Linked DNA regions of Notamacropus eugenii. The protein of the gene in region 1 interacts with the protein of each later gene in a biochemical or structural test. Links are inferred from orthologs where the notes say so. Each region holds a gene or a part of one and is shown on either strand. Other genes may lie near its edges. The genes, in order: UBE2M, CAND1, SMURF1 and NAE1.

The links.
Region 2: the proteins of UBE2M (region 1) and CAND1 form a complex in vitro, tested with the Homo sapiens proteins (2 studies listed by BioGRID). The link is inferred for Notamacropus eugenii from reciprocal best matches to the Homo sapiens genes UBE2M and CAND1.
Region 3: the proteins of UBE2M (region 1) and SMURF1 form a complex in vitro, tested with the Homo sapiens proteins (2 studies listed by BioGRID). The link is inferred for Notamacropus eugenii from reciprocal best matches to the Homo sapiens genes UBE2M and SMURF1.
Region 4: of the proteins of UBE2M (region 1) and NAE1, one has a biochemical effect on the other in vitro, tested with the Homo sapiens proteins (4 studies listed by BioGRID, with this or other methods). The link is inferred for Notamacropus eugenii from reciprocal best matches to the Homo sapiens genes UBE2M and NAE1.

Annotation. Positions count from the first base shown.
Region 1 is NC_092876.1:990,858-998,114, forward strand, and holds UBE2M (NEDD8-conjugating enzyme Ubc12), read right to left. Parts: upstream 2,723-7,257; 5' UTR 2,455-2,722; coding exon 2,346-2,454; intron 2,047-2,345; coding exon 1,952-2,046; intron 1,785-1,951; coding exon 1,746-1,784; intron 1,668-1,745; coding exon 1,564-1,667; intron 1,177-1,563; coding exon 1,113-1,176; intron 1,006-1,112; coding exon 865-1,005; 3' UTR 509-864; downstream 1-508. Other genes in the region: uncharacterized protein, read left to right, coding at 3,406-3,574, 4,120-5,329, 5,425-5,617.
Region 2 is NC_092874.1:244,372,156-244,379,202, reverse strand, and holds the start of CAND1 (cullin-associated NEDD8-dissociated protein 1), read right to left. Parts: upstream 3,013-7,047; 5' UTR 2,619-3,012; coding exon 2,551-2,618; intron 1,886-2,550; exon of another isoform or gene 1,810-1,885; intron 1-1,809. UniProt on the Homo sapiens protein: Key assembly factor of SCF (SKP1-CUL1-F-box protein) E3 ubiquitin ligase complexes that promotes the exchange of the substrate-recognition F-box subunit in SCF complexes, thereby playing a key role in the cellular repertoire of SCF complexes.
Region 3 is NC_092874.1:380,144,677-380,152,087, forward strand, and holds the start of SMURF1 (E3 ubiquitin-protein ligase SMURF1), read left to right. Parts: upstream 1-4,406; 5' UTR 4,407-4,595; coding exon 4,596-4,650; intron 4,651-7,411. UniProt on the Homo sapiens protein: E3 ubiquitin-protein ligase that acts as a negative regulator of BMP signaling pathway. Mediates ubiquitination and degradation of SMAD1 and SMAD5, 2 receptor-regulated SMADs specific for the BMP pathway.
Region 4 is NC_092872.1:693,761,759-693,768,586, reverse strand, and holds the start of NAE1 (NEDD8-activating enzyme E1 regulatory subunit), read left to right. Parts: upstream 1-3,826; 5' UTR 3,827-3,947; coding exon 3,948-4,006; intron 4,007-6,828. UniProt on the Homo sapiens protein: Regulatory subunit of the dimeric UBA3-NAE1 E1 enzyme. E1 activates NEDD8 by first adenylating its C-terminal glycine residue with ATP, thereafter linking this residue to the side chain of the catalytic cysteine, yielding a NEDD8-UBA3 thioester and free AMP.

The DNA.
Region 1 (7,257 bases):
ACGCCGGGGTCCCGGAGGAGGGGCCTAGAGGGGGCGCTGCGTTCCGAGATCGGGGGAACCAGAAGGCGGGGTCCCCCGAGGAGGCTGTCGGAGGGGGGCTGAGGCCCGGACGCCGGCGTCCTCTGGGGGCGGGGGGGCGCGCCTTCACTCACCGGCCCCGAGCTGGAGGCACAACCGCCGCCTCCGGGAAGCCCCCCGGGTCGCGCTGGACTCCGGGGCCACCCACCCGCGCCGCCGCCGCCGCTGCCCGGGGTCTGCTCGCCGCCTGCTTTCTCCCACAACCCGCCGCTGCTTCCGGATACCGGCGCCGTGACGTCACTGGCACGCGCCCCGCCCGGGGCCGAGAGCCGTAGTGCGCAGGCGCGCGGGGTCGGACGGCCCGCAGAGCGCGCCGGCGTGCAGGCCGGCGCTCCAGCCCCGCCCCCCCTTCCCCGGGGCCGCAGGTTCGGGTCCAACCCCGCACGGACAGACGGGACGCACGCACGGACAGAAGGCCAGGAGGCAAAGGCACTGCATCAACATTCCCCTTTAATAACCTGACACGAACTCGAGTGGGAGTGGGGGCGGGGTCCGGGGACAATCCAATTCATTTCCCTTCTCTGATCCGGACGACGGGGGCGGGGTAGGGCGGCGCCCATCAATCACGTGGTTAAAAAAACTAAACCCAAAAAAGAACTGGGGGCGGCGCGCGGCCGGAGGCCCCCTCCCCATCCCCACTCCCGCGCGAGGCCCCGGCCCCCAATAAATACGTGGCCCGGGGGCCGCGGACGCCCCGCCCCCCGCCCCGACCGGGGGAGGGGGCCCGGAGGAGGGGGAGGGCCGGCTCGGGGGGCGGGGCTGTCCGTCCGTCCGCCCGCCCCCCGCCTATTTGAGGCAGCGCTCAAAGTACGTGGAGCCGATGTAGCCGCCGCGCATGGAGCGCTGCACGTTCTGCTCGAAAAGGCGCCGGTTGTTCTGGAGGACCTCGGCCGCCTCCTTGTTCAGGGGATCCTCGGGGTTGGGCTCCTGCGGGCCGGGATCCGGTCAGGCCCGGGGCCCCCTACCCCCCCCACCCATCGCCCCACGGCCTCCACCCCCGCACTCATTCCCCTCGGCCCCCCCCACGCACTCACCAGGAAGAGATACTGCAGCCCGTAGATGATGGAGTTTATCGTTAGCACTGGTTTCCAGTCCTCTCTGTGGAAGGAGAAGCGCCCCCCAGCCCAAAGGGCTCGGCCTCAGCAGGGCAGCCCCACCTCCTCCTGGCCCACGGGCAGTGCTCCTCATCCCATCCTGCCCACCCTCCCCCCAGGGTCCTAAATCGGAAAAGAAGGTTCAAGCCACATCTGTGTGCCCTTCCCTGGTCTCCAGCTTGGTCACTTCTCCACAATGGCTCTCTGCTGAGCCCTGTCCGGCCATCTCCTCCTCAAGGCTACTGCCAAAGTGCTGACCCCCAGCAGCACCAGGCTGACCGTAACCCTCTGGTCCTCTGTCTTGGCCACTGTACCCTCACAAGTTCCCCTCAAGGGCCAGCAGGCCAGAAATGACCTTGTTCTCACCGGGGAAGTTGGGGTGGCCACTTACCTGAGGATGTTAAGGCAGACATTGCCCTCAAGGTCGATGTTGGGGTGATAAACCATGGTCTCACACTTCACCTTGGGTGGATCGTGGGGGTAACCCTGGCCAACCTGGGGACAGAGAGGCAGTCAGAGGCCCTCGGCCCCTCCCCCAGGGCAGTTTCTGCCCCTCCCCTTCAAAAGACTTACCTTAAAACTAAACACAAACTTGCCAGCCTTGTAGAAGCCCTGGAAAAAGAAGGGAAAGGAAAGGAGGGGAGGCTGATTGGGGCTGCCTGCTCCAGGTACCTCCCGGCACACAGTCCCCAGGCCCCTGGGAACGGCTTGGAGAAGGACAGAAGTCGGGAGAGGCCCATGGCGGCAACATGACCGACGCGGGGGGAGGGGGCCCTCACCTCATCCGGGCAGATGACCAGCTTGAAGTTGAGGAGGTCGTCCTGATCAGAAAAGTCGATCTCGCAGGTCTTAGGCAAGTTGAGCTCATTAATGTCTGGAGGAGAGTGGAGGGCAAGTTATCTGGGGACCATCATCTACACCCTGAGGTCAGGGGCTGGTCCAGGTAGGATCGGGTCCGGGGTGGGGTGGGGACGAGGCCGCAGATGGCCCCGGTTGGGGGGGGGGGGGGGGGCAGCCCCTGGTCCCAGGTGGGGGGTGGGGGCAGTTGATGATACCAGGTGGGGGTGGGGGCAGCCTTGGGTCCCAGGTGGGGGGTGGGGGCAGCCCTTGGTCGCAGGTGGGGGTGGGGGCGGGGCGGCCCTCTCCCCCCTCTCCCCCCTCCGCCCGGGGCACCTTTCTGGATGCGGAGCTGCGCGGCGGAGGCCTTCTTGCTGCTGCCCTTGGTGCCGCCCGCCGACTCCTCCTCCTTCTTCTGCTGCTTCAGCGAGAACAGCTTGATCATCCTGCCGCCGCCGCCGCCTCCTCGGGGCCCTGGCCGGCCGGCCGCCCCTGCCCACTGTCCGCCGCCTGCCCGCCCCAGCCCCCGCCTCCGGCCCCTGCCCGGCTCCTCCGCGTTCCGGCCCCGGCTGCTCAGCTCAGCGCCGCGCTGCGCGGCCCGTCTCGGCTCCCGTAGCTCGCTCGGTCCGCTTCGGAAGTGTTCGACTCCCTCCGGAAGGGCTCGGCTCCGCTCGGGTGCCTTCGGAAGTGGGCTTCGGCTTCGCCCCGCCCCCCGCCCGGCGGCCGCTCTCGGTCCCGCCCCCTCCTCTCCTCCTCCTCTGTCCCAGATCGGGTTCCCGGCTGCCCTTTCTCTGTCTCTCTGTGTCCCTCTTTCTCTCTCGCTTACAGGCTACGAACCGGCTTCGGCCTGGGCCAGGCCCTCAGCCTGGGCGGTCGCGAAGGGCCTCGACAACGGTCTCGGGGCGCCCCGACGCTTCGGTGATTTCCGCCGCCGCCTCCCCCGCTTCGGCTCTGGCCGCTGTCGGCCCCGCGGCGCGCATGCGCAGACGCGGCGCGCAGTCCGGGGCCGCGCTCGGCCATTTCCGGGCGGGGGCTTCTGGCGCTTCCGGAGGAGATTGACCTGCGGGCTGCCGACCGAGCTGGCTGGGGGAGGGGTGCGAAGGAAGGCTCTTGGAGGGCGGAGGTGGGGGGGGCCACGGGAGGAGGAAAGAGAGTTACTAGTCTCCAGGGAGCTCTTAGTGCACACATCGACCGCGACAGCGCTGGCAGCTGTCAGTTTAGGCCAGCCCCGCCTACGTGCCCGCCCATTGGAGAAGGCTCGGAGGGCGTGCCAATAGTCGTCGGGCTCTAGGCCCGGGGGCGGGGCTGTGGCGCTAGCCTTATACGAATATCCCGGAAATGCGGAGTAGGCGGGGATGACCGAATCTGAGCTGCAGCTTCCGGGCTTTCGGTCTCCATGACAACCGCAGGCCGGGAGGAGGGGCAGCGAGGCGCCGCGGGAGCGCGGGAGTCCCGGCGTCACCAGGGAGACCGCATCGCCTCAGAAGCGGTTGGTCCCGGGGCCGAGACTGAAGGCGAGAAGGACGCGAGCCGGGAGCAGGCGGAGGCGGGCCCTCATCCCCATGGTAACTCCGCTTCTCCTGCGCCTAAGAACCGAATCGCTGAGCATTGTGGGAAAGGGCAAGGAGTCTGCGCGCCGCCTGCTGGGGAGCGTAGTCCAGCGGGGGCTGGGGGCACGTGATGGGGAGGGGATGGGGCCCTGCAGGGTTTGTACTGGAGAGAGGGGAAGAGCTGCTTTCGGCCGACCCCCTCAGTAGTTCTCGAGCGTCTCTTCTCGTTTGGGGGGGGGGCTGTCTCACCCAGGAGAACTGAGACCTCATTGGCCAGCTTCGGTGGGGGAGGGGGCGGACAAAACCCCTGTCCTTTTTTGCCTGCGTACCCCAGTGCACTCAGGTTGGCACACTGTAGGTGCCTAATAAGTGCTCATTGACTGCCACGCGACCGTGAGGGGCGCACCTGAGCCTGAGTTCAGATCCAGCCTCAGACACTTGCTAGCTGGGTCACCAGTCTGCCTCAGTTTCCTCACGTGTCATTTGAGCTGGAGGGTCAGCACTGAAGGGGCGCCTGGCCTGGAGGAGGGCCCCCACCCTCTGTCCGCCCTCTCCCCTAGGTGCCAGTGGCCGGCCCGAGGGAGCCTTGAAGGACGCGCCAATGGCGCACCCCCACCCGCGGGGGCAGCTGCGCTACCCCAAGCCGTTACGGCTCCTGTGCCAGGCCGTGCCCCCCATCCTCGGCTCTTCCCGCTGCAGACCCAGCCTCTCCCTCTGCAAAGGGCCCCCTCCCTTGCTCATTTCGGGGGCTCCTTTTCCCCTTGCCCCCAGCGCCCTGCAGTGCAGGGTGCTGCTTCTGCCTCCAGCCTCCCAGGGACCCCGGCTCATCCATCTCCAGAAGGGCCCTGGCCCCCCTCCGCAGGGGCGCCTCGGCGCTGTCTCCACTGCACCCCAAGCCCCTCTCCTGAAGAGCCCCATGCCCTCTCAATGCCGGGTGCTCGGCTGTCCCCGGCCCCAGAGCTGCTCCCCGATGGGGGCACCTCCTCCCTGTACTCCGAGTCCCTCCCGCTCCCCCCAGACCAGATCTCATCCCCTGAAAGGGAGACCCCCCCTCTCCAGGGCCAGCCCCTCTCCTTGCAGGACGGTGTCCTCTTCTATCTGCCTAAAAGTCCAGCCTCTGAAGGGGAAGCCCATCCCCTTCAGTCCCAGCCCCTCCAAAGGCAGAGCCTCATCTTCCCTGAGACCCAGATACCACCCAGTCAAGAAAGCCCCCCACACCTCCAGTCCCAGACCTTCAGGTTCCCTGCAGCCCAGTTCCCCGCCTCTGAAGGCATGCTCTGCCTCCTCCCACTGCGGGAAAGCCCAGGCTCCTCCACTGCTGGGGGCCCCTTCGACCATTGACCCTAGTCTGTCCTGCCGGGGCTTGCTCCATTCTCTGAGGCTCAGCCCCTCCAGACACAGGGGACTGGCCTTCCCAGTGAACATGGTCCTGGCCTCTCCAGAGCTCCTGTTCTCCCCCCGGGCCCAGGATTTCAGAGAAAGAGAGCTGGGGTTCACTATCCTGCCCAGACTCTCCTCCCCAGAAATCCCTCCCAACTCCCCTACTTCTGGCTTCAGTCCCACCCCAACCCCCTGCTCCCTTTATCCTGGCCTGGGTTCCCCTGAGTCACAGGATGGCCACAGTTCCAGAGTGATCCAGTCTGTGCCCCTGTCTGCGGTGAGCACGGACCTTGCAGAGCCCCAGGCCTTTTCAGGGGGGCATGATGGTCAAGGACGGGACTTGGATACGGTCATCCTGCAGCCACAACAGGAAGGACAGCATCTCTTGGGGTGAGGCCCTGGGGATCCCCACCTCTTCAGCACCCCAGGGTTTTGGGGGAGAACGGGAGGAGAACCGCAGCGACCCCCTGCTCTCATGTGCCTAGGCCTGCTGTCCAGGTTTGGCCCTGGCCTCGTGGCGGCAGCCACCAGCTGGGCTCCACCTCCGGCTTTGGCTGTCTCTTCTGGCCGTGTTCCAGTGGTGCTTCCCATGTGAGCTCCGCAGGGGCTCTGCCCGTCCAGAAGCATCTCCAGCTGTGCTCTCCTGCCCCCCGTCCCCAACACCTGCAGTCTCCCTGAGAGCAAGTCCACCCAGGGGAGAGAGCTTTGGCTCCCCTGAAGTATCAGTAAAGTGGGGGTGTGGAAAATGAGGACTCACTTCTGGGGGATGCCAAGGCTGGCAAGACACCACCCGATGGTGAGGCCCCTGGTCTGAAGCGGGGATGGAGGGTATTTGGGCCACGGGAGGGAAACACGAGCCTCTGCTCCCAGTGAGGTGAGGTCACTGTGGCAGCCGAGGGCCAGCTAGACTGGAGGGACAGCCCTGGCCAGGGAGAGACTGGAGACAAAGGGGAGGGGCGATCTGTCGGAGGAGATGGGACAGCAGGCAGAGGGGGGGCCAAAGAGTGAGCTCACGGTTTTAGGCCTCAGCGTCTCATAGGGTCTCAGCAGAGGGGAGCCATGAGAGTATCTGGAGGGCCTCTCACTGATAGAATCGAATCGAATTCAGCCAGCCCTTTGAAGCATCTTTCCTGCCCTGAGGGATGGAGAGGCCTATCTACTGGGCTGTGGGGGTGAGATTGGGCAGGGCCTCCTCTCCATCCCTGGGCTCTGGGCTGCTACAGGACACCCCAGGGGAGATGGGGGGAAATGTGCATCTGTAGTCAGGGTGGTCAGCAGACACAGACAAGAGGATTGGGGAATGCACTGAGAGACCTGTGGAGGTTACCTGGTTCAGGCTGTTCAGGTGACACAGGAATAAACTGAGGAAGCCCTGAGCTAGGAATGGGCTTACCCCAGACTCCTCGGGTCTCCTGCCCAACTTCCAGTAGCACTGGGCTTCCTGCAGGCCCCAGGCAGCGCCTGCTGGGGCAGGTGCAGTGAGGACAGTTGGTGCCAACCTTGGCCCACAGTCCCCTCCCACCTGAGGAGAGGTCCCTGCCTGGGGGGTGGGGGCGGTATTAACCCTCCAACAATGGACTCTCACCTGGAAGACGCATTGGATTCATAGACCATTGGATGGGATGCTGCGTGCTGGAGATGTGTATAGCTGTGTTACCATGAGCAAGTCACTTGTCTCAACCTCAGTTTATTTGTCTATAAAGTGGAGTTAATAACATCACCTTCCTCTCAAATGAGATACAGCACGTGTAAGTGCTTAGTAGCCTTCCTTAGCAGCACCATGTAAATGTGCACTGTTGTCCCAAAGGACAAGGCCCTCATTTTACAGATAAGGAAACAGGCATTCCAGAGCAGGGCTGCACAGCAAGTGAGTTGATAGGATTTAGACACTTGAGAAGTCACCAGGTTGGACTGCTCCCCTCAAAAGGTAGACACACAATGAAAAACTTCGCAGCCTGGTGTGATGGGTCGCAACTGGCATCTCTGAGTTGCAGGAGGGAACAAAGCTGATACAACATCCCTGCTAAATCTCTTCCTGTGCCCATCAGCCTGGGTGGGAGAGGGAGACCCAGGCCCAGAAAGAAGGCTGGAGCCTTAAGATGTCACCCCCAGACTTAGGCCAGCGGCCCCCACAGAGACATGCAGAAGACCCCCAGCTCTCTGCTTCATTCTCCCTATTTCTAAGGCAGAGCCCTCTGGGTGTCCCACCATCAGTGTGGTGAGGCAAACATGAGAGAAAGATGAGGGCTGCTTGTAACAGCTCCGAGCCTTGAGCCATAGATGGTGGTGCCTGGCACATTGGGTTGGAGCCAGCTGCT
Region 2 (7,047 bases), on another chromosome or scaffold:
TCTAAAACTACAGACCACATTTTTAAGTCTAATTAATCTACACTGCTAACATTTTCTCCATCACTTTTAAAAGTCTAGACAATCAAAAAACAAACAGAATAAACTCCAATAAACTAAAGCCTTGATATTTATTTTTAGCTTGCCAATTTCTGAGGTATAAATGCTCACAAGGAAAATTTAAGAATCAGATTATACCAGTTAGAGCTGGCACCAATACACTCTTGATGTCTACAGTCTAACTTGAATTTAGAATGAAAATTCACAGAATTTTTAAGCTGAAAAGGAACATCAAATTCAATAAACTCATTTCATGGAATGATGGAAAGAGCATGGACTCTAGAGTCAGAACCTGACTCAGAGTTCTGAACCTGGGTTCAAATTCTGCTGCTGTTTATCCCTGTGTGACCCTGGGCAAATCACTTAACCTCCCTGGGGCCTCAGTTTCATTATTGGTAAATTGAGGGAGTGAGATTGGATGGGCTGTTCTCTTCAGTCCCATACTCTCATTAATAATAAAAATAGAGACATTACATATTCCATTTAAAATATTTTAGATAACTAGAAAATCAGATGAAAATATATCAAACAGAAGAAAAAAAATCTTAAATTAAGCCAAATTATCAGAATATTTGGGGATTCAGGCATATTTGGAAATTCATCCAGTCTTTTCCATATGCCAGTCATGCTCAGTAATCTTATTTTAAATAACTAATCCCTCAAACAATGTTCTGGGAAATTTCAGACAGCAAGCAGATATTACTTATTAAAGTATTCCCCCAAAATAGGTTTTTCCCAATTGACTTCAAGATCCTGGAACTTCAATAAAATGGTTACTAAGCATCTAGTAGGTGGTAAGAAGCTAAGGAATACAACAACAAATGTTTACTTTCCTCTATGACAGTCTTCACTGCTTAATGATTTCTTTTTAAAGAGAAAGAAAATATGTAAAAAAAATCTGCAAATTACTTGTTTTATGTTTCATTTAGAATGATACCTATAAAATATACTTAAAATTGTTCCAGTGTTTTACCATATGCTTCAAGATTAGAGGTAGATCTCCCCACCATCACCACAAGTATTAAAATCTGAAACTCAATACCACCAGAAGTGAGTATTTTAATGAGCAAGCTGAGATAGATAGTAAATTTAAAAATCGCACCATGCACTTGCTCAATATCGAAAAGTTTCCAAATTAAAACGATTAAACTTCAGTGACAAGTTGGAAACCAAGAAAAAGTTCAAAGAATATGAGTAATTTTCTGGTTTTAAAAGAATAACAATTTTTTTGTACTTAGAATTATGACCAAGTAAATAAGGTTTTCAGAAAATCATAATCAATCCATGAGTGAATGGTCCTCAAGATTAGCCAAATGTTGAATCTTGCCTATACGGCAGAAAGTTCCTGGCAGCGCAAAATTACTTACAATCCATCTGGTCAAAAAGTCCCAGAACTAAAGTTTCAATCTACTGGGTTACTAAAGATCATAACTATAACAGCTTAATTAAATTAGAATTAGGAATTTTTTTTTCTCAAGACCTCCTTGTTTCACGAAATAAAAACGCTGCTTCTGCGTCCGGCAGGACTGGTACACTTTAAAGGGGGTGGCGGGAGAAGAAATAACGCACAAAGGACACGAGTTTCTTCACTCATCACATTAAGTAAAGGCGGACTGTTTAGACACACAAGTTTCATCCCCACAGGCTTCGTACCATAAAACTTAAGTCCCAAAGAGATTTTAAAAATACGTTTTTCCCTGTGGCACATGGAGCGCCCTCCAGGACTACATGCGCCCAGACTGAATTTCGTACCCGATCTACTACCAGGCATAAGACTGCCACAAAGTCCAGCCAGGTGTCAAGCCTGCCAGCAGCGTTCTAAGGTGTAGACGAGGCAGTCTGCGGCCTTTCCTTGAACGGGAGTGTTAGCGCAGACCTGGAGGTAGGGATACAAGCAGCAAAGCTTTCTCTTTTAAAATTTAAAGCGCGATCCCTGCGCTCTCGTGGGGCCGGGGAGGAGATCACATGCAAACAGGCCCCGGGGAAATGGGATCGAGCTCCAAGGCTTCCTGCGGCTTCCAGCTCTCCGAGCCCCCCTCCCCCGGCCCCCCGGGGCTCAGACTCAGGAGGGGCGCCGGGCCGAGACACGGAGAAAGCGTGGATCGAAAGCCCCCAACCCCCCCCATAAAAATATCTAATCTACCCAGAGGAGGGGGCAAGGACGCAGGCGGGAAACTCCCCCACCCCCCAACATGCTTCCTCCCGGGCAAGTTTCCAGCGCCCCCAACCCTCCAAGGAATCCAACCGTTCCCCGCGCCCGGCCTCGTTCCTTGCTCCCTTCCCGAGGGGGGCCCGGGGCGGCCCAGGGCCTCCGGCACCGGCCCGACCTTCCCCCGCCCCACCCCCCTCGCCCCGGCCCGGCTATCGATCGCGGCTTCGGGGCGCGCCCCGGCGGGGGCCTCGCGGCGGGGAAGGGGCAAGGCCAGGCCCGGAGCGGGGAGGGCGGCGGCGGCGCTGCAGGGGTGGGGCCCCGCGCGGATCTCGCGGCCTCACCTGAAGTCCTTGTCGCTGGATGTCATCTTCTCCAGCAGATTGGAGATGTGGTACGAGGCGCTCGCCATGTTGACGGCTACGGTCCGGGCGGCTCCTCCTCCTCCTCTAGCTCCGGGGCTCGCGGCCCGGCCCGCTCCCGGCGCTGCGGCGGCGGTGACGAGGGAGGCGCCTGCAAGGGCTGCCCCCTCCCGCGGAGCGCGGGCCTGGCCCGGGAGCAGCAGAGAAAGCGGCGCGGCCCGCCTAACGACAGCGCTGCTCGCGAGGGGCCGGTCTCATGGGCGACGGGGAGGGGGTGGGGGGGGCGGGAAGTCCGGCGAGGGCCTCTCCCGGGAGCCAGACGGTCCTGCTCGGGCCTCTCGCTCGCTCCCTTCCTCCCAGAGGCAAGCGGCCAAATCCCGCCTCCTGCACTCGGGGGGCGACGGCGACCGCGGCTCCCGCTGCGTACTTAAGTACCAAAAGAGTACGGAAACCCGGGGTCAAGGGTTACGGACGCTGCGACGAGCGCGCCCCCGCCGCGGCCCGGATGGGTGGCTATCCAATTGGCCCAGGGGCGTGTCAGTCTGCGCGGGGACGGCCGTGCGTAAGGCGTGACTGGGACGGAGAGAGAGGTGTTCTCTCGAGACTTCCAAGCGACGGTTAAAGGGCGCGGGGCTGCAGGTTAGACAGGGATGAGCTAGGAAACGGTAAAGGATGGGTTGGAGCGTCATGCGCGTAATGGGGAGTAGCAGTGCGGGATTTTAAACGCGAAGAAAAAGATAAAGGCCCCGGGCTGTGTTAATGAAGGAATCCAGCCCAAGGAAAGAGTGGGCTTTCGCGTGGGACGCGTGGCCTGCGGCATCTTAAAGTGCAGCCGCGCAAAGACTACGAATCCCGTCATGCCCTTTAGACGTCATCCACAGACACGACCTGATTGGCTGCTGCCGCTGTCAGCTTCTATTTTTCCCTCCTCCAATCTCCCTTTCCTTCTCGGAGAGAGGAACGAATCCCAGGATTGGTGGGTTGGCCAAAGCGGGCCGCAGGCGCGGGGATCTCTGGGTCCTGAAACTGGCGAAGTTCTGACGAATCGCTTTTGGCCGTGCACGAAAATTGATTCTGCCAGGGTCTCCCCAGGCCCCTGTACACGTGCCCAGCAGGGCGGCCGTGCTTTTTCTGTCTTAGAAAGGACTGCACCTGCATTATCCGACCCAAACCAACTTGCACCTCCGAAGCGCCTTATCATGTGTCAGCTTACAAAGACCAGTGGTTCCTGCCCTCAAGGAGCTTACATCTCTCCCCAGGGTGATGTGTGCTGCCACGGGGGAACAAACTTCTTCCTGCCCTCTGTTTGATGGGCACGTAGGCACGTCCTTTGTAAACAGGGAACATGCCACTTTCTTTTGTTAATTCCCTGCTCCCCAAACAAGCCTCTCTCCCCCTCCCCCCCTTTTAAACTAAAGGCTTAATAACCCTACTTGTGCCAAAGTATTAGGAAGCTGGGATAGAAAAGATTGCCCCGGGAAAACGAGCTCAATGAAACGTCTGCATTTTTAGCGCTCTTTCGTTTCTCCGGCCCCTTCTTTTCATAAAATAAACCAGTAATTTACTAAATGCTAGATTTCTATCCATTTAAGATCTCTAATCTATTTTGCAACTTTTGGAGGATCATTTCTCTTGGAAATTTTGCTGCAAGTTAATGACTAATACAGGTGAATTTAGATTTCAGTTTAGTAAACATTTTTGAAGATGTATGCGAGAGGTATTATGCTTGGTGCTGGGGAAGGGAAGATGGCTTTTGAGTGATAACTGTGGGAAAAGGGCTATATTCTAAGTCAGAGGGCTTAGGTTTAAAAAAGTTCTGCCTGTATGATCTTGGAAAAGTCGTTTACTTTCCCTGGACCTCGGTTTCCATCCCATGAAAGCTGGACCAGATAATCTTTAGGTCCCTTCCAGCTCTAAATTCTAGAATTCTTGAAATTCCTGTTCTCAAGGGAGTGATGGTAAAGGATATACACTCATTTTTGTATTTTCCTTCTCTACCATCACTCTCGTTCAGCCCCTATTTACTTCACATTCAGACCACAGCCTACAAACTGAACTCTTCACTTTCAGTCTCTCCCTTTTCCAACCCATCCTGTAGCCTACTGCCAGATTAATCTTCTGAAAAGTTTTATTATATTATACCTATTCAGAACTGTCGTTTAAGGATTAAAACTATATTTAGCCTGGAACTACAAGATGTGGAGCCTTAAATGCCAGGCTAAGGAGTTCTTTTTTCATCTTTTTGCTGTTACTTAAGTTCACTGTCTCAGCTAGACTAAGCCTATGAATTTGCCTTAAGTGTTTTCTCCTCTGAATTAGAATTGGCAATGAAGAAACAAAGCTATCACTCTGCAGGTGATATGATGGTATACTTAGAGAATCCTAAAGTATCAAAACCACTTGAAATAATTAACTTTAGCAAAGTTGCCAGATAAAATAAACCCACATAAATTATCAGCATTTCTATATATCATTAACAAAGCCATCAGCAAGAGATAGAAAGAGAAATTCCATTTCAAGTAACTGTAGACAACATAAAATATTTGGGTGAGACTACAAGCAAATTAGGAGAGCAAGGAATAGTTTGCCTTCTCAGATCTATGGAGAATGGAAGAATTTATGACCAAACAAGAGATAGAGAACATTATGAAGTACAAAACAGATAATTTTGATTACATTAAATTGAAAAGTTTTTGCAAAAAGTCAATGCAATCAAAATTAGAAGGGAAGCACAAAGCTGGGAAACAGTTTTTATAGCCTGTGTCTCTGATAAAGGCCTCATTTCTAAAATAGATAGAGAACTAAGTCAAATTTATAAGAGTACAAGTCATTCCCCAATTAATAAATGGTCAAAAGATATGAACAGACAGTTTTCAGATGAAATTAAAGCCATTTATAGTCATATGAAAAAATGCTCTAAATGACTATTGATTAGAGAAATGCAAATTAAAACATCACATCACACCTATCAGATTGGCTAACATGACAAAACAGTATTTTCTCCTCTGGGCCTTTTTATGTAATTTTTTTTGTGAAACCTACTAGTTTCACAAGTTTAAAGTCAGAAAGGACCTTAAAGACCATTCAAGCCTCTCCTTTGACAAATGAGGAAACAGACTAAGAGGATAAGAGACTTGTCTGTGATCACACAGCTAATAAGTACAGGAGGCAGAATTTGAACACAAAACTTCCTGCCTCCAAGTACAGAATCCTATCCACCATACCAAGTTCTCTTTCCTTTTCAGTTACCTAAATCCTACCCTTCCTTACAGGTTTAGCTCAATGCCTTCTCCTCTGAGATATTCCATCAACTAGACCACTCAAGGTCACAGTGCACTCTCCGCTGAACTGCTTCAGTATTATTTGCCATAGCACATGTAATTGACAGTATCTTTGTGTTGTTATCAATCTATGAATTAATCTTCCCAGGAGGCTAAAATGTTCTTGGGAACAGACAGAATATACAACAGTGGAGTCATATCACTTTAGAGTTTGAAAAGACTGGATAATTCATCTAGTCAAACTCAATTTACAGTACTAACTTTAAGATTTCAAGCATTTGTGGTTTTAATAGTGTAGATCATCCCATTACTGGCAAAGTTCACAAGCTTATATAGCTTTTAAGAGTCCCCTTGGACAAAAAACTAATCTTCCTATGAAGTATCTGGTATTGAACCTCTTCAAATTTAGGGAAACTGATTGTTAGGCAACAGAAATGAAATCTGTCACCAGGCCAGTAAGTGAAGGCTTTCCAGCTTGCCACAGTTTGCTCTCCATTGACGTAGCCTTCAAAACATCAGGGTCACCTCCACGTCATAATGTGATCTAATAATCATTGATTATTTTTCTTCATACTTCACAGAGGACCAAAATAACTTCACTATGTTCAAGTGAAGATACAGTGTGCCCAGCTATGGTTGATCAGACCAATACAAGTTCAAAAGGCTCTACTAGAGGTCAGGCACAAATAGTTCATATGAACATTGGAAGTGGAGATATCTTTAAAGTTTTGCATCTCACCACGTTTCTTTTGAGCTACTGCAATTCTGCTTTGGGCACAGAGCATAGCATCTTCTTTGATTCTGGCACACCATGCTGGACAGTCTGTGCCAGTGTCTCCTTTGTCCCAAAATTGATTCCAAAGTTCTTCAGAAAGATTTTGAGACTGTCCTTGTATGGCTTCTTCTGACCTCCACGTTAGCGCTTGCCTTCTGTGAGTTCTCTGTAAAATAGTCGTTTAGGCAAACAGGACATTTGGCATCTGAACAACATGGCTAGCCCATCAGAATTGCTCCGTGAAGTAGAATTTGAATGCTTGGGCCTCAGTGTCCAATCTTGCCAATCTTCAGAGTCTTCCTAAGACAGTTCAAATGGAAGCAATTCCATTTTCAGGCATGGCGTTGATAGACTGTCCAAGTTTCACAGGCATACAACAATGAGCTCAGCACAATGGCAGTGTAGACTTTCAGTTTGGTAGGG
Region 3 (7,411 bases), on another chromosome or scaffold:
CCCCCTGCCTCTTCAGTATCCAGAGCTACCAGAGACCTACAAAATAAAATCCTCAACACCAAAGTCCTTGGCATTGTCAACATCAGAAATGGATAGGATCACCAGTAGAAATGGCATGAAAGAATATATATTATCATCTGCTTCACATAAGGACCATAGGACCCTTCCATCTGAGTTGTAGTTGAAACCTCCAATAGGTATTTCTCATACATTAGAAGGTGAACTCGAGTAGGGACTGCCTTGCTTTTCTATTTGAATCCATAGCCCTCATCACAGTGCTTTGCACATATTAAGTGCTTAATTAATGTATCTTCATTCATTTATTTATTCATACAGTTTATGATTAAAGCCACAGAGAATAAATTCATCAAAGGAGAGAAATGGACCCTAGAACAGAGCCATGAGGAACAGGGGACATGAAATGAACGATGGATCAGGAAGGGAGAGAGCTATGGTTAGAAGAATAATGAAAGAGTAGTGTTAGGAAAGACCAGAGAAAAGTACAGGAAGAGATGTGAGTTCATTGTCAGAGGTGACTTGACACAAGGCAGAGGGTTATAGTCCAGAGGTTTTGGCTTCAAGGTAGCAGTCCATCAAGCCCTCAAAAGTGGTAAAGATGGTATGGAGTATGCTATGTTGTACATCCAGCTCTTCCTATTACTATTTCCATATTTTTCATGGGAATTCATATGAAAACCTGCTATGGTGGAAGGGAATATTAGAAATGGGAACAAATGAATAGGATGGTCACAACTATTTCTTCTTGGTGAAAATGTTTCTAAGGCAGAAGATATATTTTAACCTATAAACACATTATATTTACCCTTTCCAAAATTTGACCTCTCTCAGTATTTCCTGGGATTTCAGAATGAAATTCCAGACATTTGATTCCTTTGTGGTTCAATAGTTAAGAATAATCAGTGAGACTGAGCACTTGTTCTACTACTTATTAGCTACGTAATGATGAATAAGTAATCTAACCTCTAAGGATACCACTGTCTTTACTGTAAAATGAGGAAGAAGTTTGATTTAGATCCATTTAGGTCCCATAAGTCTGAGTGGCATTGTGGCTTAATGAATAGTGTGTTAGACTTAGAATCCCGAAGACTTGGGTTTGACTCCTATTTCTGTTATTCAGCTTTGCGAACCTAAGCCACTTAACCTGAGTCTGTTTCCTCATCTGTAAAGTGGGGATAATTCCTGTAGTATCTTTTTTTTTTTTTAAATTAATTTATTTTTAGTTTTCAACATTCACTTCCGTAAGTTTAAAATTTTCTCCCCTTCCCTCCTCAAGATAGTATGTAATGTGATATGGCTCCTGTAGCATCTATCTTACAAGATTGCTGTGAGGCTCAAATGAGATAATCTACTACACTTTGCAAAACTTACAGCACTATAAAAATGACATTTTAAAAAAATGGCCATTACTATGAACTCCAGAGTACCTGGAACAAGATGAGAATCTTTAAGAAGTCCCTTTCACAAATAGTTGACATAGTTTCATCAAGAACAGGTCATGCCAGAATAACCTCATTTCCTTTTTTGATAGGGTTACTAGACTGGTAGATCAGGGGAATGTTGTAGATACAGCATTCTTAGATATTAGCTTCACTTTTTATAGTAGCAAAGAAATGGAAACAAAGCAGATGCTCATGCATTTAGGAAAAGCTAACTAAACTGTGGTACATGAATGTAACCGAATATTACTTTGCTGTAAAAAGCAATAAACACGAGAGAAGCATGGGAAGACATGAACTGATGAAAAACTGGAGCAGAACCAGGGAAACATATGACTACAATAATTCAAAATGGAGAGAACAAAAGCAGCAGAACTGAATGCCCAAAGGGATATAAGAATATACCTCCTGTTATTCTTTGCATAGGTAGGGGACTATGCCTATGGAACATTATATAGTGTCAGATTTTTTCCAAGATGTTGGTTAGTTTTGTTGAATTAATTGCCATCCCTCTCATATTATTCTTATTATAAGGGATGGCTCTCTGGGAAAAGGAGAAGGGAGCCATGTATTGAGAAATGTTGGTGATAAAGTTATCAATTGAAATTTATTTGAAAACTTGAAAAAAAACATGAAGAATACATGGAGAAAACAAACTGATGAAGAGTAAAGGAAGCAGACAAGAATATACGATGATTATAACTTAAAGGGAAAGAATAAAAATAATTGAAACAAAAAGCTGTGACACTACAATGCCGAAACTTGGCCTCAGTGAATGAATGAAAAAGTATTTATTTATTACTTGCTGTACACCAAGCACTGGGTGTACAAAGAGAAAAATCAGTAAGGTCTCTGCTCTCTGGGAGCTCACACTCTACTTGGGGGATATTACACATAAAAGAAAGTTCATTCCTAAGGGTGCATCAGGCAGTGGAATGGCAAAGCTCAGAGGTCCTTAGGCTACATCTGTAGGTCAGAGGACAGCACTAGAGGTCTTGGAAGCATACCCAGTGATCCTCCATCTCACCATAAGAAATAGGATTGGTGACTTTCACCAAGGCTGCGTGAGCAGCCAAGTGGCTGGGATGGGATCTGGACGATCTGAGTCAGAGTACGGAAGCAAAGAGAAATCAAGCGGCAAAGCAGAGAAAGTACCAGGCTACTCCCTCCCCCCCCTTTGAAAACAGAAGTGGAAACCATGAGTGTGGACACCTGTACACCTTGAACCTGGTATGTCGGTTAGTTTTGTTGAAATGCTTTTTTTCTTAAAAAAAAATTCTTTGTTATAAAGTATAACTCTCCAGGAGGAGGGTGGAGAGTTATAGCAGGAATGCAGATAATATAAAAATATCAATAAAAATGTTTTCAAGTACATGACCATTCAACAAATAGGATTCTATTAAGAATTTTACCCCTGATATGAGTGCAGTGATTGGCTTTGTTTTCTCTATGTGTCTTGTTTCCAAAGGAAGTTTAAACTTTGGGAAATTCCCTGTCCCTCCAGAATGGCCTGTCAGGGCTGGGCCTGTTATTCAGCATAAAACGTTGACTATTCTAAGAGTCCACAGAATATTTGCTGAATGCATAATTCTTCATCATCGCCTGAATCCCAGAGCTGAACACACAGTAGGGGCGCCACAGTGATTTATTTACCTGCCTATGGCTGGTTTCGTTTATTGTTAAAGCATCCTAGATATGGCAACTTCCCGTCTATCTGGGGTTCTCCAATGCCAAAGAAAGATCCTTCTCGTTACCTGAGTACAAGCTAACGCACAATAGCTTAGCTGGGCACCGGGGAGAGGAAAGATTGGGATGAAATACAAAACACAGCCCGTGGCCTCCAGGAGGGTGCGGTCCGGTAGGGGTGCAAGACTCCGGAGTAAAGAGCCCTACTAACTTCCCATCAGATCAATGGGACTGGAGACGGCCTTCAGGAAGCCACGTGAGCAGCTAGGTGGCTGGAAGGGGGTCTGGACGGTCTGGGACAGAGAAGGAGCAGGGGCGGGGGAGAAAGCAGCCCGCCCCCCTATGGTGAGGAGCGGACGCCGAAGGGCAGCTTGAACAGAGGGGGCCCGCGGGGGGGGGGGGGGGTGTTTATCCAGCGCTCTGAGGCCTGCACACCATTCTCACCACACAGGCACGCAGGCTCTCCTCGGAGGAGCCCCGCGGCGGGTGGGGCTGAATTCAAGACTGACTCGTTCAGGGTCGCACAACTACTGCATTTGAACTCGGGACTTCGAGGCTCCACGCCCACCTACGGAAGCGAGTGCCGTGGGCCGGTCCCCGCAGCTTCCCCTTGGCACTCTCCCCGACCCCGCTACCAGCCCGCGGCCCCCGGCCCCCGGCGGGGCCTCTCCCCACGTTCTCGGGTGCAGTCGCTAAGGCTCGGCACGTGCGACCATAAACATGGAGGAAGCCCCTCTCCCGCTGGCAGGGTGCGAGGAGACCCGCAACATGGCGCCGAACAGGACGCCTCCCCGCCTCCACCTCGGGGAGCGACGTCAGCGGCGTCCTTTGCGTCTCCGCCTCACGTTCGGCGCAAGCACGCTCGCACGCACGGGCTGGGCGGGGGTTTAAAAAAAAAAGGCCGCGGGAGCGCGCCGGGGGGAGGGAGAGGAAGGTCGCCGGCGGGGGCGCGCGCGTCGCGAGGAGGAAGGAGAGGAGGGGAGGCGCGGCGGCGGCGGCGGCGGCGGCGGCGGCGGGAGCGCGCGCGGCTCCGGGAGGCGGCGGCGGCGGCGGCGGCGGCGGCGGCGGCGGCGGCGGCGGCGGCGGCGGCGGCGGCGGCGGCGGCGGCGAGGGCGGTGCTCGCTCGCTCGGCGGCTGGTCTCGAGCTCCGAGGAGGCGGAGGCGGAGGAGGAGGCGGTGGCTCTCGACCTGGGGTTGGTTGGGAGGGCGGGTGGGGGGTGGTGGGAAATCTGCTCCGCTCCGGGCTTGATCGCGGGGCCCGCCCCCTTTCCCCCCACCCACCCTGCCCCGCTGCTTGGAGTTGGTGGCCGGGAGGCTCGGACCCGGGGCTCGGCGGCCCAGCCTCAGCCTTGAGGAGGAAGAGGAAGGCAGGGGCCGGGGCCGAGGCGGGGGGCGGACTCGGACGGGCTGTGGCGGATTCTTCCCCCCCACCTCCCCGGTCGCGGGCAGGAGATGTCGAACCCCGGGACTCGGAGAAACGGCTCCAGCATCAAGATCCGGCTGACAGGTACGGGCGCGCGGGGGAGCGGGGGAGCCGGGGTTGGGGGGGCCCGGAGGGGAGGGGGCCCCCGGAGGGGCGGGGGGGGGCGGCCCCGCCGGACCCGCACCCCCGGGCCTCGGCGGGTCGTGCGCTGCGTGGGGTCCCCGGCATCCCCGGGCGGCCCGCGCCGTGGCTCCCCTCCCCTCCCCCGCCTCGGTGCTGGCAGCTGCACAAGTCCTGGCTCCTCGATTCACTCGCGTTTCTTCAATGAAATTTCCCTGTTTCCCCCGTCAGCTCCGTAGTGATCCCCATAGGGGTGAATGGGGAAGCCCTGGGGTGCGCATGCGCTGTTGCGGGGAGGGGGCGGGGTGGTGCCGGCGTCGGGGTGGAGGGGGGCGGTGTGTGGTGCGGACGGTGTCTGCCGCTGGCGGCCGTGTCTCCCCGGCGGGCTCCAGACATCCTGCGTCCAGTGTCCGGCCCCGGCATCCCTCCTCCCCCACCCCCGCGCTCCCCTCTCGGCACGCCGCAGGCCTGGGGTTCTTAACGCGGGATCGTTACTCCGCAAACAGATTTCTGCCGGGGGACTTTCCAAGCCAGAAGTTCTGTCCGATCCTGGCAGGAGTTTCCCCCTCTTGGTCTTTCTTCTGGTCTGTGGCACACGAAAGAAAAGCCCTCCAGTCTGTATTTGTCCAGTTCCTGTCAAAGGAGTGTGATTTAACCCCCCCCCCCCCCCCAAAAGAGGGAGGATCGAGACGAACGCCTAGCGTGGTTAGGGCATTTAAAAGTATTTGTAAAAAACATCTGTAGGTGATTTTTTTTAAAACCATATGTTCTCTTTGAAAACCCACTGTTGCCTGTTGTAGGATCTGTTTCCTGTTTAAATAAAAGGACTTGTGAGTTCTGTTTACAAAGCTGACAGAATAATGAATTATTAATGATTCAGGCCCAGACTGGGGTTTTGTAAGGCAACAGGTGTATCCTCCTGGATCTTTGTTCTTGGAGGAGCCATTATGCTGCACTCAGGCTAGGAGGTAAAGCACTTCTTCATATTTTTAAGTTGAGTTGTTTTTATGGGTGCGTAAAATGTCATGTTTTTGACGTTATAATACTTGTAAAGTTTAATTACAAGACAACTTTAATTTGCTTCCCAGTTACAACGCAATCTATTATAGCCATCAGATCAGTTACTCTTTTACTGTTAAGTGCATGTGTGTGTTTTGTTAGAAATGTAGTTGGGTTAGAGTTTTTGTTTCTGAAATAAACGTTTTACTTTTTTGCATTTGTTGAGCGTTTTTATGAATTGTGGCTGATGATCTTTGATTTGTACTTCTCTTTCCCACCCCCAAAGTATAAGAGAGAACAGGATTTGTCTTTCTGTTCACCCCACCCTTTCACCCCCATATACTGGTCTGTTCAGGAGTTTAAATGTGATAGCTGCAGAAATACTTTTAAGAGCTTATGGATGGCATTTGATATTAAAGGATTAAATGATCAGTATTCTTTCCAAAGTGCTTTCCCCCTCCTCACTCCCTGCCTAAATTGCTGAATACCTAATGGATTTGAGTCAATCTATGAATGTAATTGTTCTTGAAACGGGAATTGAGAGCTTAGTAAGAGTTGTGTAACAGACATGATGGCAGTTGTCTGTTGAACATTAACCCGTGTGAAAAAGTTGCAACTAAAGAGTGTGAAAATAAAATTGGTTTTAGTCTATTCTTAAAGTTAAGAAGTTTGAAATTTTTTCACTTCTGATTTATTGTGCATCTTGATACATTAAATGTTTTTGATAAAGAAGATTGCTTAGTTACTGCAGTGACATTTGAAAATATAGATTTTAGAGAGGTTTTTGTTAGTAAATAACATGCAGCATAATTAAATACAGACTATGAAGACATTAGTGTTTGAAAAGATATTTAGGACTTTTGACTGCAGAATTTTATGGTAAATGGAAAGTGTTTTGAACCAGAAGTGAAGGAGATGTTAATTCTAGCCCCAGGCCTAGACCACCTTTGTGACTTCTTTGGGCTTCATTTTCTTCTTCTGCACAATAAGGACATTGGACTAGACTGGTGGTGCTTAACTTTTTCTGATTTACCCTTTAGGAGTCTGTTGAAAACTATGAGATCCCTTTTCAGAAGAATGTTTTTTAAAACTGCATAGTATTACAAAGGAAGCAATTATATTGAAATAGTCATCAGTATTTTTTAAAGACGTTTATGAAGCATACATTAGGAATACCTAAATTAGACTGATATTCAAGGTAGTTTTCTGGCCCTAATAGTCACATTGTTACCTATTCTAAATTACTAGTGTATATGCGTTTTTGGTTATTAAATTCCATGCTCTCTAGCTAAGCTTTAAGAGAGAAAACTACACGATAACTTTTGGGACATGCAGAAAACTTTGACTTAAAGTAAGATATCTCAAATTTGACTTATGATAAACATAATTAAGTCTAGTGACAATTTCTAACCATTTTTGCCATGATAGTGAAATTTCTCAGTCTTGTATTTTTGAAATTGATTGTATAAATCCATTGTATGATGAATTTGCCTTCAAGGCATAATTTATAAATGTGTCCTGAATATTAGTGGATATCTTAATCCTTCATTTTTAGATAAAGATTGAAATAAATGCTGCCATAATTATGTTAGTTTGAAATAGTTTATAGAGGTTTCAGTAGTTCATTGAATATATTTGATACAAAATACTTGAATAATTGTGTGTTTCAAAGCATTTTGCAAATACCTTTCCCAGTTAAATTATCTCCTTGTAGTCAGGGATTGTT
Region 4 (6,828 bases), on another chromosome or scaffold:
GATTTAGAGCATTTTTTCATAAAACTATTGATAGCTTTGATTTCTTCTGAAAAACCACGTGTTCATATCCTTTGACCATTTATCAATTGGTAAATGATTCTTATTTTTATAAATTTGGCTCAGTTCCCTATGTATTTGAGAAATGAGGCCTTTATCAGAGAAATTTGCTGCAAATAATCAGTAAACATTTATTAAGTAACTACTATGTGCCAGGTACTGTGCTAAGTCCTGAGGATGCAAAAAGAGGCAAAGGAGTCCTTACCCTCAGGGACCTGCTGACCATCTAATGGGAGAGATAACAAACAAACATGTACAAACAGCCTACCTATAGGAAAGAATTAAGAGGGAAAGCACTGGAATGAAGAGGGAGTGGGGACGGTTTCTTGTAGAAGTGAGCTTTAGTTGGAACTTAAAGGAAGCCACTGAGGTCAGTAGTAGCAGTAGAAGAGAGAAAGCATTCACAGTATGGGGGACAGTTCTAGAGTTACTTTACTTAGTTTCATTTCTTGTCAAGCTTTAAGTAAACTTGATGTTACCTCCATGGCTTTTTGCTGTTTTATGTGTGATACTGCTCAAAATTTCTCATCACTTTCCTTCCTAAGCCTTTATATCCAAGTCAATATAATTTAGTACAATGACTGGCACATAGTAGGTGCTTAACAAATGTTTATTGAGTGATTACTTTCACTAATGTTGCTTTTCATTGTCACTTTCCCCCACCCCTTTGCAAGGAGATTGGGCATTTGCTGGAGAAGCCCCCCTTCCACTGTGTTTTCCCCTACCCTCAGCTTTAGCTGCTGGTGATTATAGCTCCAGTTTCATTAAACAATTACCATCAATTAGCTGTTATGATGGACTATTGACTCTGAAGATATAGCAAAAAAAAGCATCCCCTCAAAACTTTGGAATGCAATCTCCTCTATACCTCCTCAATCTTTAGGGAGAGAGAGTAGAATTAGCAGTTTCTACATAGCACTGTTCTCCCCAAATTCACATACAACAGAACAATGTTATATACTAAATGCTAAAGATACAAAAAAAAAGCAAAACCAGACCATACCTTCAAAAAGTCCACAGTCTAATGGGGAAGACAACATTCAAACAACTATGTTGTTTGTTGTTGTTTTTGAGGAGGATCAGTGACATCACTGATGACATCTTGACTTGCAAGTCAGTTAGATTTAAGTGAGGCAGAGTTGCACAAAGTTATTCAGTCTCACTCTCTCTTCCAGGTCCAGTGGCAGGACAAAAGACAAGAGGACCGTCAATGGCCAGGGATGTACCTCGGCATCTTCAGTGACCAAACTCTAAGCTCTCCACAGCACCTGCTTCAGCTGCCTTCTTGGTGGTTGGAACAAATTGTTCTCTTCCATCCATTCCAATGGGGAAGTCTTCTCATGCTTGTGGTAGATATTCCCCTAACTCACTGACAGGTTTAAGACCTATTGGTTACCCTCAACCTGCTTTAACCCCTCTGCTGAGATGGTTTACTGGGATGTGGCCATTGGGATGTGGCATGGCTATAGCTTCTTGGAGTCACAGGTGACAGTTGGATGCCAGGTGGATGAGCAGGCCTGATACCAGAGGTGCTAGTCCTCCCTGCACACCCCATACATCAACAAAGGGAGGGCACTACCATTCAGGAGGATGGGGATGGGGATGGGCTGTAGAAGATGGGATTTACATGAGACTTGAAGGAGGCCAGAGAAGCCAGGAGGTGGAGTAGAGCAGGGAGAAAGTTCTAGGGATGGGAGTACAAGGGGTGTAGAGCCATTGAAAAGGTACAGATTCAGGAGATGAAGCATCTTGTGTGAAGAACAGCAAAAAAACCAGAGTTACCGAATTACAGAGTGTGTGGAAAGGAGTAAAACATAAGACTGGAGAAGTAAAAAGGGATCAGGTTGGGAAGGGTTTAAAAGTCAAACTGAGAGTTTTCTATTTGGTGCTGTAGACAATAGAGAACCATTGATGTTCACTGAATGACGGGGATGAGGAGGAGGTGGGACATCATCATGCTTATACTTTAGGGGAGATCAATTTGGGGGCTAAATGAAGGATGGACTGGAATGCTCAGTCTGGAATCAGGAAGACCTGAGTTCAAATCTAACCTCAGATATTTACTAGCTGTGTGATCTTGGCCAAATCACTTAGCTTCCTTTTCCTCAACTATAAAACAGGAATAATAACAGCACTTAACCTCAGGAAGGTTGTTGTGAGGATCAAATGAGATAATTGTATTACACTTAAAACAGTACCTGATAAATACCAAGTGCTTAATAAATATTTATTCCCTTCGCCTTGTTCTTTCTCTTTGGTTGCCTCTGCTGATGGTGTTACAATAAGAGGGGCAATACTGTATACGGGGAATAGCAATGGGTCTTTCTGATTTGAAGCCAATATGTAGCCAGTGAATATAGGTCTTGGTTCTTTGCTTTGGTATTTGTCCTTTTATTTTAAGGGAAGGAAAGTGTTAGCTACTTCTCTGTAAACTTTAAAAGTTTAAGAGGACAAGCCACCAGCAGATTGGAATTCGCATCCAGCTGTCTAGATTTGAGGTCCCAAGGAGCAAAGACGTACCTACAGGACCCAGCCAAGGGATAGTAGAGAGGGCAAGGTCTGTTTTTGCTTTCTTTGTATCCTTAGCACTTAGCACGGTGCCTGGCACATAGTAGGTGTTTAATAAATGCTTGTTGCAAGTTGTTATATGACTGTGATGGAATATTATTGTGCTATAAGAAATGATGAGCAGGCAGATTTCAGAAAAACCTGGAAAGACTTCTATGAACTGATGCTGAGTGAAGTGAGCAGACCCAGGAGAACCGCCACATGATGCAGACTTAGCTCATCTCGGCAATACAATGGCCCAAGATAATTCCAAAAGACTCCTGGTGAAAAATGCTCATCACATCCACAGAAAGAACTATGGAATCTGAATGCAGACTGAAGGATACTATTTTCACATGTTTTTTGTTTTTTCAATCTTGTATTTTTCCCCTTTTGTTCTGATTCTTCTTTCACAACATGACTAATGTGGGAATGTCTTTAACATGACTGTACACGTATAACCTATATCAGATTTCTTGCTGTCTTGCGGAGGTGAGGAGAAAAATTCAGAACTCAACATTTTACAAAAATGCATGTTGAAAACTATCTTTACTTGTCATTGGAAAAAAATTAAATACTCTTAAGGAATCCAGGCTTGATGCCGGCTTGCCACTTGTGTAAACGAGTAAATGTCCTTCCCTAGGCAGGTTACTTCTCTTCCGCGGCCCCAATTTCTCCTCCGTCCAGTGAGGGGTCGGATGAGCTCTCAAGTCTCTTCCTCCAGGTTTCGATGCTTTGCTCTTGGGAGTTTTCTGGGCCTCGCTTTTTTCCTCTATAAAATGAGGGGTGGGATGACGCGGTCCTCGAGGCCTCTGCAGCTCTGACCCAGGAGGTCCAATTCGCCTTCAGGAGCAGGAGGTGACGCCAGGTGAAGATGCTCCGGGCTTGGGGCGGGAACCACACCTGCCTTCTCTGCGCATCACTGTTACAACTTATCTGGAACAAGACTTCGCCCGGGCCAGGCGCACTGGTTCAGGCTGCTAGGGCTGTCCTGACTAGGAACACCCGAGAGTTTGGGAGGAGAAATGAAATTGAAGCCACCGGTCTGCTAGGAGGATCAGAGACCCGCCTACCCATCGGAAATCCTCGCGCGTGCGCGGCCCTTTAGCGTTCCCTGCTGGCGGCTTCAGGAAGCTGCAGGGTGAAAAGGAAGCGTGAAAAGTGCGGCTGCGCGGGGACGCAAGGGCACACTGGACGGCTGCGCGAAGGCTGGGGAAAACTTGGCCCGGGCGTAGTGCGCCTGCGCGGCGGGGGCGGGGCAGCCTGGTGGACCCGGGCTGTGGTGCCTGACCCTCTTTCGGGGCGGGAGTGCGGCGGACGTGAGGCCGGGGCCCAGCGGAACCATGGCGCAGCCAGAGGCGGGAAAGCTGCCTAAGGAGCAGAAGTACGACCGGCAGCTGAGGTGAGACGGGGGTGAGGAGGCAGCAGCGACCTCCGCCGAGTCCTGACCCGGGCCGGGCAGCCCAGGAGAACGCCGGGCTCGGGGCGGCCCGAGGGAGCAGCCTGGCGAGAGGGAGCCGGCGCCAAGGCCTATCCCCCGCCCGCGTCGGGCTCAGCTGTCCTCGAGGCTCCCGAGCCCCTGGGAGGAGCCAGGCTGGGCCCGCCCCCTCAGGGTCCTGGATTGGAAAGAGAGGCCCTGGTCTGGAAGCCTTGAGTGTCAGAGCAAGGGGAGGCCCGGGAGCCTTGAGAGCCAGAGCAGGGGGAGGCCCGGGAGCCTTGAGTGTCAGAGCAGGGAGAGGCCCGGGAGCCTTGAGAGCCAGAGCAGGGGGAGGCCCGGGAGCCTTGAGTGTCAGAGCAGGGAGAGGCCCGGGAGCCTTGAGTGTCAGAGCAGGGGGAGGCCCGGGAGCCTTGAGTGTCAGAGCAGGGGGAGAGGCCCGGGAGCCTTGAGTGTCAGAGCAGGGGGAGAGGCCCGGGAGCCTTGAGTGTCAGAGCAGGGGGAGGCCCGGGAGCCTTGAGTGTCAGAGCCTTGAGAGCCAGAGCAGGGGGAGGCCCGGGAGCCTTGAGAGCCAGAGCAGGGGGAGGCCCGGGAGCCTTGAGTGTCAGAGCAGGGGGAGAGGCCCGGGAGCCTTGAGTGTCAGAGCAGGGGGAGGCCCGGGAGCCTTGAGAGCCAGAGCAGGGGGAGGCCCGGGAGCCTTGAGTGCCAGAGCAGGGGGAGAGGCCCGGGAGCCTTGAGTGTCAGAGCAGGGGGAGGCCCGGGAGCCTTGAGTGTCAGAGCCTTGAGAGCCAGAGCAGGGGGAGGCCCGGGAGCCTTGAGTGTCAGAGCAGGGGGAGGCCCGGGAGCCTTGAGTGTCAGAGCCTTGAGAGCCAGAGCAGGGGGAGGCCCGGGAGCCTTGAGTGCCAGAGCAGGGGGAGAGGCCCGGGAGCCTTGAGTGTCAGAGCCTTGAGAGCCAGAGCAGGGGGAGAGGCCCGGGAGCCTTGAGTGTCAGAGCAGGGGGAGGCCCTGGAGCTTTGAGTGTCAGAGCCTTGAGAGCCAGAGCAGGGGGAGGCCCGGGAGCCTTGAGTGTCAGAGCAGGGGGAGAGGCCCAGGAGCCTTGAGTGTCAGAGCAGGGGGAGGCCCGGGAGCCTTGAGTGTCAGAGCAGGGGGAGAGGCCCGGGAGCCTTGAGAGCCAGAGCAGGGGGAGAGGCCCGGGAGCCTTGAGTGTCAGAGCAGGGGGAGAGGCCCGGGAGCCTTGAGTGTCAGAGCAGGGGGAGGCCCGGGAGCCTTGAGTGTCAGAGCAGGGGGAGAGGCCCAGGAGCCTTGAGTGTCAGAGCAGGGGGAGGCCCGGGAGCCTTGAGTGTCAGAGCAGGGGGAGAGGCCCGGGAGCCTTGAGAGCCAGAGCAGGGGGAGAGGCCCGGGAGCCTTGAGTGTCAGAGCAGGGGGAGAGGCCCGGGAGCCTTGAGTGTCAGAGCAGGGGGAGGCCCGGGAGCCTTGAGAGCCAGAGCAGGGGGAGAGGCCCGGGAGCCTTGAGTATCAGAGCAGGGGGAGAGGCCCGGGAGCCTTGAGTGTCAGAGCAGGGGGAGAGGCCCGGGAGCCTTGAGTGTCAGAGCAGGGGGAGGCCCTGGAGCTTTGAGTGTCAGAGCCTTGAGAGCCAGAGCAGGGGGAGGCCCGGGAGCCTTGAGTGTCAGAGCAGGGGGAGAGGCCCAGGAGCCTTGAGTGTCAGAGCAGGGGGAGGCCCGGGAGCCTTGAGTGTCAGAGCAGGGGGAGAGGCCCGGGAGCCTTGAGAGCCAGAGCAGGGGGAGAGGCCCGGGAGCCTTGAGTATCAGAGCAGGGGGAGAGGCCCGGGAGCCTTGAGTGTCAGAGCAGGGGGAGAGGCCCGGGAGCCTTGAGAGCCAGAGCAGGGGGAGAGGCCCAGGAGCCTTGAGTGTCAGAGCAGGGGGAGGCCCGGGAGCCTTGAGTGTCAGAGCAGGGGGAGAGGCCCGGGAGCCTTGAGAGCCAGAGCAGGGGGAGGCCCGGGAGCCGTGAGTGCCAGAGCAGGGGGAGAGGCCCCGGAGCCTTGAGTGTCAGAGCAGGGGGAGAGGCCCGGGAGTCTTGAGTGTCAGAGCAGGGGAAGAGGCCCGGGAGCCTTGAGTGTCAGAGCAGGGGGAGGCCCGGGAGCCTTGAGAGCCAGAGCAGGGGGAGAGGCCCGGGAGCCTTGAGTATCAGAGCAGGGGGAGAGGCCCGGGAGCCTTGAGAGCCAGAGCAGGGGGAGAGGCCCGGGAGCCTTGAGTGTCAGAGCAGGGGGAGGCCCGGGAGCCTTGAGTGTCAGAGCAGGGGGAGAGGCCCGGGAGCCTTGAGTGTCAGAGCAGGGGGAGGCCCGGGAGCCTTGAGAGCCAGAGCAGGGGGAGGCCCGGGAACCTTGAGAGCCAGAGCAGGGGGAGGCCCGGGAGCCTTGAGTGTCAGAGCAGGGGGAGGCCCGGGAGCCTTGAGTGTCAGAGCAGGGGGAGGCCCGGGAGCCTTGAGTGTCAGAGCAGGGGGAGGCCCGGGAGCCTTGAGTGTCAGAGCAGGGAGAAAGACCTGGGAGCCTTGAGAGCCAGAGCCTTGAGTGTCAGAGCAGGGGGAGGCCCGGGAGCCTTGAGAGTCAGAGCAGGGAGAGAGGCCTGGGAGCCTTGAGAGCCAGAGCCTTGAGTGTCAGAGCAGGGGGAGGCCCGGGAGCCTTGAGAGTCAGAGCAGGGAGAGAGGCCTGGGAGCCTTGAGAGTCAGAGCAGGGAGAGAGGCCTGGGAGCCTTGAGAGCCAGAGCAGGGGGAGAGGCCCAGGAGCCTTGAAT